Bombyx mori: one gene and its partner. The protein of the gene in region 2 interacts with the protein of the main gene of each other region in a pairwise test. Links are inferred from orthologs where the notes say so. Each region holds a gene or a part of one and is shown on either strand. Other genes may lie near its edges. The genes, in order: ATPase family AAA domain-containing protein 3A homolog and disks large 1 tumor suppressor protein.

The links.
Region 1: the proteins of disks large 1 tumor suppressor protein (region 2) and ATPase family AAA domain-containing protein 3A homolog interact in a two-hybrid assay, tested with the Caenorhabditis elegans proteins (3 studies listed by BioGRID). The link is inferred for Bombyx mori from reciprocal best matches to the Caenorhabditis elegans genes dlg-1 and atad-3.

What each region holds. Positions count from the first base shown.
Region 1 is NC_085107.1:9,466,625-9,470,952, forward strand, and holds the start of ATPase family AAA domain-containing protein 3A homolog, read right to left. Parts: upstream 2,816-4,328; 5' UTR 1,983-2,815; coding exon 1,787-1,982; intron 1,321-1,786; coding exon 1,166-1,320; intron 1,069-1,165; coding exon 956-1,068; intron 828-955; coding exon 621-827; intron 486-620; coding exon 328-485; intron 1-327. UniProt on the Caenorhabditis elegans protein: Essential for mitochondrial network organization, mitochondrial metabolism and cell growth at organism and cellular level. Important during development for the up-regulation of mitochondrial activity during the transition to higher larval stages.
Region 2 is NC_085118.1:7,817,979-7,821,805, forward strand, and holds part of disks large 1 tumor suppressor protein, read right to left. Parts: intron 3,224-3,827; coding exon 3,143-3,223; intron 2,141-3,142; coding exon 1,892-2,140; intron 1,552-1,891; coding exon 1,410-1,551; intron 896-1,409; coding exon 630-895; intron 1-629. UniProt on the Caenorhabditis elegans protein: Essential multidomain scaffolding protein required for normal development. Recruits channels, receptors and signaling molecules to discrete plasma membrane domains in polarized cells. Required for proper embryonic elongation.

The DNA of each region.
Region 1 (4,328 bases), on a different chromosome or scaffold from region 2:
ACTGCAAACTATATCAATCCTGTCATGTGTTTAAAAATCATTTTTACGTAAAGTGTTATCATTTTGTTTTTAAATACAATTAGTTACTTTAGTAAGAAAATTTGAGTTATTAAATAATTCTTGGTACATTAACCAATTCATATTTGTACAAACTGACACAACCAACATCAGATTCATTAATTTAAATATGTATAATAAATATGATAAATATAATAATATGTATTAAATAAAATTATCTGCCAATTATACTAATGAATGAAAAACTAGAAAGAATAATAACTTTTTACATAAAGATGATTAAAATAAATAGAAATTTATGTTTTTTACCAATGCGAGCCTCAATGAATCTAGCTGCAACCGATGTGGCTCCCTTTGCTGAATAAACACCAAGTGCCAATAATGACAAACCCCCTGCAGCAGCTAAAGTTTTATCCCAATCTGTCACTAATGCATTCAGACCAGAACCTACTACGCTCCCAGCTGTCCTATTAACATACAATAATTACAATACATTACAATCAATTGTGTAATGTTTGTATGATAAAGTTAGTGTATGGAAAAGTGAAGTTATACAAAAATTAACGAGGTAAGATATCTAAAATCCAATTTCATAAACTCACTTTATACTTTCTAGAATAGTAACTCTGTTCTCAGCAGCCTTTAGTCTAATTTGTTCAAGATTTATGTCTCGATTTTCTCTGTCAGCCTGCGCTTTGGCTCGAGCTTCTGCTTCTATTGCTCTCAATTTATTTTTCTCTCGCAGCTCCATTTCATGTTCTATAGTAGCTCTCCTTAAGGCTTCCTGTTTTGCTACACTCTCTTCTTGTCTAAAATAAAGGTTGTTTAGTTAATTTATAATATTAGGGGACTGATATTGTGATTTTAATCTAATTGATATCAATGTATTTTATATTCTAATGAAAAGTATACTCAAATTATCTTTCAACTGTCTTACTTTCTGAGAATTTCTTCTTGAGATTTCTGTTGTTGTACAAGTTGTTCTTCGTAACGTTTTTTAGCTAATTGATCTTGGTATTGAGCTCTCATTTGGTGCTGTTTTGTTTCTTCCTATAACAGATGAGAATTTATTATTATTAAATGCCTCTAAAAGAAACATCTTCATGAACTTTTTACCTCTTTGACTGATCTATAAAATTAAAGTAACCTGTAATGTTTTTCGTCTTTCTTCATAATCAACTTTCTTTTGTTCTACTTTAGCTTGTTCAATGGCTGCTTCATATTCCTTAATCTTGGCCATTTGCTCCTGTTGTCGAGTACTTTCCTGAAGTTTACTAAGCTCCAAAGCATCTTTTGCATGTCCTAAAAGAGTAATTCCAATCAAATAACATATTATGCTGTACTTTATCAAATAGATGCAAGCAGTAGCAGCAGAAACACTTTCATATATTATAAGGGAGTGATCAACATGCAAAAATGATATACACCATAAAACAAACGACTATCAGATTGTTATTTAAGTTCAATAGTTGTTCACTGTTTAACTTATCATGCATTTTATACCTGTTTCGCTTTGCTAATTTTTGCGATAAGTGTTTAAAATACACAGTGAATTTAGGGCTGAGTATAGTGGAAGATACATATGAAAATAAAAACGGAAGTCTTTTGTTAGGCTATCCACTTTTAATACTTTGATGTACATCATCAATCAAACTAAATGAATTCATATCAATTGCCGTAGTTCTTAAAAATCATTCTAAAATGTAAGGTTATGCGGTGGCATTATGCAATAGCGCGCAACGTGATTAAAAGTTATAAAATATCTTACTTGATCGTTCCAGCTCTTTTGCAGCCGATGCAGCTCGCTCTAGGGCACTTGAATCAAACCGGTAGGCTTCCATGGCTTTCCTCTCTGATTTAGAAAGGTTAGTAGAAGGTGCGGCAACACCAACCCCATCGGCTGGTGGATCGTCCGAAGGAGGAGGTTGTGGAGGTTTTGAACTGTACCCAAATAGCCACGACATCGTGACTTCAGTAAATAATTTTCAAGTTGTGTTAGTAAACTACTTTCATAAGAAACACGATTGTTCACAAAACTGATGATATCTAGTAGAGTAGCGGCTATGGAAGGCACGACAGCCGGAGTGGTCAAACCACAAACTGTCAAACTGAAAGTAGGCAGTAATTCTATTTTCCAACAAACAAGGCCAAGGTATCACACCATACAGCCTAATCTTTTATATCTTCTGTTGATATAAAGAATGAGGAAGTTTCCAATCGCTTAAAAACAAAAAATAATTATATAAATTTAAAGACAATAAAAAATATTAAAGATAGTAAAAAAATACGGCGGAACGCACTAAAACTGGACGAACTATAATTACCTCCGCACGGAGACTCGTGTTTTACGCTCGCATTACTATCTCAGACGTGGTGTATGTGGGCTTAGACTTTTTGACTCAAATTCGTTCTATACAAGCGCAGAAATAAGATACCTACCTACTTAATCTTTTATCCGCCGTACTTTTACATCTTATTTATTACCGTTTTATTTGTATTTTGGTAAGAAACTATCTACGGAAATACAATACCTCAACTCGCTTAGTACTAAATGAGTCAGTGCAATCCAACTATAATATTTTGTATAACTACCTATTATAGTACCATTAAACACCTTAAAATAGATTTCTGTTTGTTATTTACCGTTTTATCCTTTTAAAGAAATAAGCAAAACTACGAATCGGCACAAAAATCTCTCGTGAGCTTGACCGCCTGGAACCGTACCCGCCCGACCGGTGGCAACTCGGTGACCCATCGTAGATATTGAACAAACAATAAAATCGATATCAATATTTGTAGTAAAATATTTATTTAGGTACTCTAGATCTAGATTTAAGGTAAGTATTCACTAACGGATCAATGAATCGAAGATCTAATAAAGTTATTAAAATGTTTTACAGATTTGCCCAAGAAAGCTAATGTGACGACGCCATTGGCTATATGCAGGTGTAAAGAGAAGGCCAACTATGCACGGTAAAAGCTTTTTTTTTTCGGGCCGAGGCCCGAACCTCTTACGTTCTCTCCGCGCCTAGGGAGCGCGCGGGGTATGTGGGACTTGACGATCTGCAAGGTGTTGGGAGCAGACCGCGGGCCCAAGGAATTTTAGGGCCCACCCACTAAACGACTCCCCTGCACTCTTACACCTGACGTCCGATCTCCATCCGGGGTCAAAACCCGGTCAGAGTAGGGGGTTCCCGCGGTCAACACTACAACCAGACACGCGGCGCCACCCCGAGGACGCCCGACCGACGGGTCGTCGAGGCGATTGTCGACGAACAACGACATCAGTCTCCGCGGTACGGCGGCCCTGCCAGACCGCCCGGGCGATGCCGCTATTGTTACCTCGCTGGGCCAGAACCAGCCTGCCAGGTCGGAGCGCGATACACCGCCGATCGGGTTGCTCTTCCACAGTATGTTCGGCGACGACAGCGACGACGAAAATGCGGACCGCGTCGCAGTCCGCAGCCGCCGACGCGCACCCCGTCCTCCTGGTGCCAGCGCGCTAGAGTGACGGTAACGTACGGCGCAGCCTCAATCTCCTTAGGTCGCCCCGTGACCATCACCGGGAGGAGACTGCCTCCTCATAGGGGCCGGAGCTGGACAAACGCCCTCCTCCGAACCCCGGCTCGGCGGCGGCGGCACGACGCCGAGAGGGAAGATGAGCTCTCCCTCTCCCGTTCCACCGCCTCCTGCGGGATGGTGGACTCGCAGAAGTCGAGCATCGCTTGCCAGGACTCGTCGCTGCCGAGCATCGTAGCCACGACGGTCGGAAGCGACAAGTCCGGTCCTATTTTTGCAAGGAGGACAAGGCGCCGCTCCGCGATAGCGGGGCAGTACGCGACCGTGTGCTCCGCGGTGTCCTCGTTGCAGCCACTGCAATGATGGCACTTCGGCGTCGGCTCCCTCCGGGCAACGAGGTGCAGGTAGCGACCGAAACAACCGTGTCCCGTGAGCACCTGCGTTGCTCGGAAGGTGAGACGTCGCCGGTCGCTCGACGGTCCGTCGCCTGTAGGCGGGGTCCGCCAAGCGGCAAGACCACGCCTCGAGCATGGCAGGCCGAGATTAAAGCTTCCGCGCTCGAACTATGCACGGTAAAAGCTAGAATAACTCCAGAGCATAAAGTTAACAGCAAGCCATATCATTGTGCATTTGTATGTAATGAAGAGACTGAACAGATTATAAGCGTATGTTGCGAAGATCGTGCCGCCAGCCCGGGAGGTTGTAAGCACACTATAGCTCTAGTTATGTGGGTGGACCGACGATCTAAAGAACCATCTTCTACGTCTGTGAAATGTTATTGGACAAAAGCA
Region 2 (3,827 bases):
TGAGCCCGTGAAGATCACGTACCGGTCCACGCGTAATTGGAATAGTCTCTTAAGCTACAAACGATTGGGTAGGAAAAAATGCAATCATTCCAAGAACACGTTAAATAATAGTGTGTATAGTGAGATGGAGAAAGTTTAAAACAATTAATGTTTTAATTGAAAAAATTCGAAATGGGCCACAATAGCAGTATATTGAACTATTGATCATGCAAAAATATGCATACTAGTGCAGTTTTCCTAGACTTATCTATCTTGAGTACTAGTTGCATGATACCAGTCCTGTTTTTTTCTGGTGTATAGTAATCACGCGTTTTTTTTTTACAGCTTGGATGGGTGGACGAGCTCACGGACCACCTGGTGTTAAGTGGTTACTGAGGCCCATAGACATCTATAATGTAATGCAAATGCGCCACCCACCTTGAGATATCAGTTCTAAGGTCTCAGTATAGTTACAACAGCTACCCCGCTCTTCAAACCGAAACGCATTACTGCTTCACGGCAGAAATAGGCAGGGTGGTGGTACCTACCCCTGCGGACTCGCAAGAGGTCCTACCACCAGTACCTGATGTCTTGATGTGGGCAGCGACGTTTACCTTATGTCTATGAATAAGACATGGACGGAACAGTACCTTCAGGGCTTTGGCGGCCTGTTCGTGTGTGGCGTGCGATATGTCAAGATCGTTGACTGCGAGCAGACGGTCTCCTCTCCGTAGAGCGCCGGACCTCTCCGCAGGTCCGCCGGCCAACAGGAAAGAAACGTAGATGCCGTGCCCGTCTTCGCCACCGACGATGTTGAACCCCAGGCCCGAGGGACCTTTCTCCAGCTCCACCACGCGTACCTCCTCGCCGCCGTCCGTTGCGTCTTCGCGTCGGAGAGAATTTGCTGCGCTCGACGCTGTTTTTATTTTTATTATTAAATTCCTTGTTAAATGTGTACATTTTTTTTACAATGTCTAAAACTTAAAATGAGTCGACTATTATCAAAGCCGGCAATCTGACTTTTGGACAATGATTGGTAAATCAGAAAAACGAATTATTGACTTTGTATTCCATTGGCTGTCACAAAACTCTTCGGAACGAAATCTAAGATAAATAACAGGTTAACTATTAACCTTTATTTAGTGAAGGTTTTGAACCGTATTCTTTGAAGGATACGATTATATTCAAATCAATCTGTATTGACATATCAATAAAAATATTTTGTCCAAATTTTAATGCACAGATTGCCACCTTTGATAATAGACGACTCAAATAGTTTATTTATTAAAAAAAATTGTTACTGTGGTGCCAATCGTAACCAGTTAATTATAGCTGAATAAGTAAATCAATCGTGTCCGATGTTTGATAGATTTTTAATATTTATATCGTTAGATTATATAGGTACTAATAGTAATTTAATGATGTCTTACGTGTGTTAGCTCGAGAAGTGCGCGGCGAGGGTTGTCCGTGTCTCGGCCCTGGTACCAAAACTAGCAACACGCGTTCTCCTGTTGCCTTTAGAGCGGCCACGGCATCCTCGTGTGTCACGTTATCCAAATTGACATCTCCGTTCTGTTTATTTATTTCCAATATTATAATCGACAACAATAATTAGATGTGTTGTTTTTTATTTAACTGGTGGTAGGACCACTTGTGAGTCCGCGCGAGTAGGTACCACCACCCTACCTATTTCTACCGTGAAGCAGTAATGCGTTTCGGTTTGAAGGGTGGGGTAGCCGTTGTAACTATACTTGAGATCTTAGAACTTATATCTCAAGGTGGGTGGCGCATTTACGTTGTAGATGTCTACGGGCTCCAGTAACAACTTAACACCAGGTGGGCTTTGAGCTCGTCCCCCCATATAAGCAATAAAAAAAAAATGCAGTTTAATAAAACAGGCTGGATTACTTACAGAAGTGTTTTTGACCATAAGCAATTTATCACCAACTCTTAAACGTCCATCTTGATGCGCAGCGCCGCCGGCCATGATTTTGGTAACGTAAATGCCGTTGTCACCGGGTATGTGTTGGTTACCGAGTCCGCCTGCTATACTGAAGCCCAAGCCAGAGCCACCTTTTATAAGTTCTATTTCCACAGATTCCTCTTTGTTTGACACTTGTGACACGTTTAGGGTATCTTCTATAGCTCGACGTCGCACTTTCTGTAAATTGTAAGCAGTGTAAATACCTATGTATTCACGTAATTAATCATCAATAAAGAAACACATAAAAGCTATAATAAACAATAATTTTAATTTTCAAAAATATTTTTAAGTATATGAATGTTCATTTGAAGTATTCAGAAATGCAATACAGGTGCAAGAATTTAATGATATGAAATTCCTTGTGAATGATGACGTGTCATTAACGTTTTTATGATTTACTGGATTTTTTTAAGTGGGAAACATTGCAGTTAGTCTGCAGCCCTTTTTAGGGCCTGTGCACACCACGTATTTTAAACGCGCCGTCGACGCTCTTTCGTAGCGATACAGGCGCGATACGCACGCAAGTCAGACGCAGCCTGTAGACCTTTGCACACCTGTATAAATTAAAATAGACGTTTGAATCGATACAGACGCGATGCTAACGCGTGTTTGTATCGATACAGACGACAACAAACCGCTCTGTAGGATAAAAGCGCGCCGTCGACGCTCGTTTTGGAAACGCGCGCTTAAAAAACGTGGTGTGCACAGGCCCTTAGCTTCATCAGAACAGATGAAGATCGAAGGTTCAATCTGGAGGAAAACGTTTCCTGACACCTGCCTGACTGAATATATCAGAATACATAAGAATTCATACTACTTATAACATTCAAGGCATATGCTTAGGAAATTATTATGAATATTTCTGTACATTATTGTTCTGGTAGATGATATATTATTGCCATTTTAACTATGGGAACAGTTTGTATACAATGGTGGGACCAACCTGTCTGGCATTTTAATATACCCTATTACCACCACTGTATGTAAGAACAAGAATGTCCTTGGTCACAGAGGTCATTTCACAAGACCTGACCTGACCTTCATCAGTTGCCAGCAACAATTCTAGGAAGCTCATTTATGGAAACCGCTTTTCTTATCAATATGGTTCCGGCATAGCATTCATGTAGGTGATTTCTAAGAATAGGCATGATTCTAAGGTTAGTAATAATAATTACTTACCAATCTCACAGTACTACCAGCCTTTTTCAGTGCATCAACCGCTTCAGCATGTGTCACATTTTCTACATTCACATCATTCACCTATAAAAAGAACTTAAATTGGTCATTATTTTACTATTATACCTATGTCATAATAATTTGGCCAGCTTCTGCAGCAAAGCCGTTGTGTGTTCTTGTTTAAAAAGCAGTCATTAGTTTTTATTTCTACAAGGTAATGTATATATGAGTCGTCTATTATCAAAGGCGGCAATCTGTGCATTTGGACAAAAAAAATTTATTGATATGTCAATACAGATTTATTTGAATATAATCGTCTCCTTCAAAGAATACGGTTCAAAACCTGCATTAAATAAAGGTTAATAGTTAACCTGTTATTTATCTAAGATGTCGTTCCGAAGAGTTTTGTGACTGCCAATGGAATACAAAGTCAATAATTCGCTTTTCTGATTTACCAATCATTGTCCAAAAGTCAGATTGCCGCCTTTGATAATAGTCGACTCATATATGATAAAATTGTATAATGAATAGGATGGTAATTTAGGATTTATTTTATGTTGAAAGTAGCTGTCTTAGTAGATGATGGGTACTTTAGATTATTTTTATCTTAAAGAAATTACACTATATTTTAGAATATCCTAACAATTTGAGAACACATCAATGTTTCTTTGCTTTACACATTCCCAGA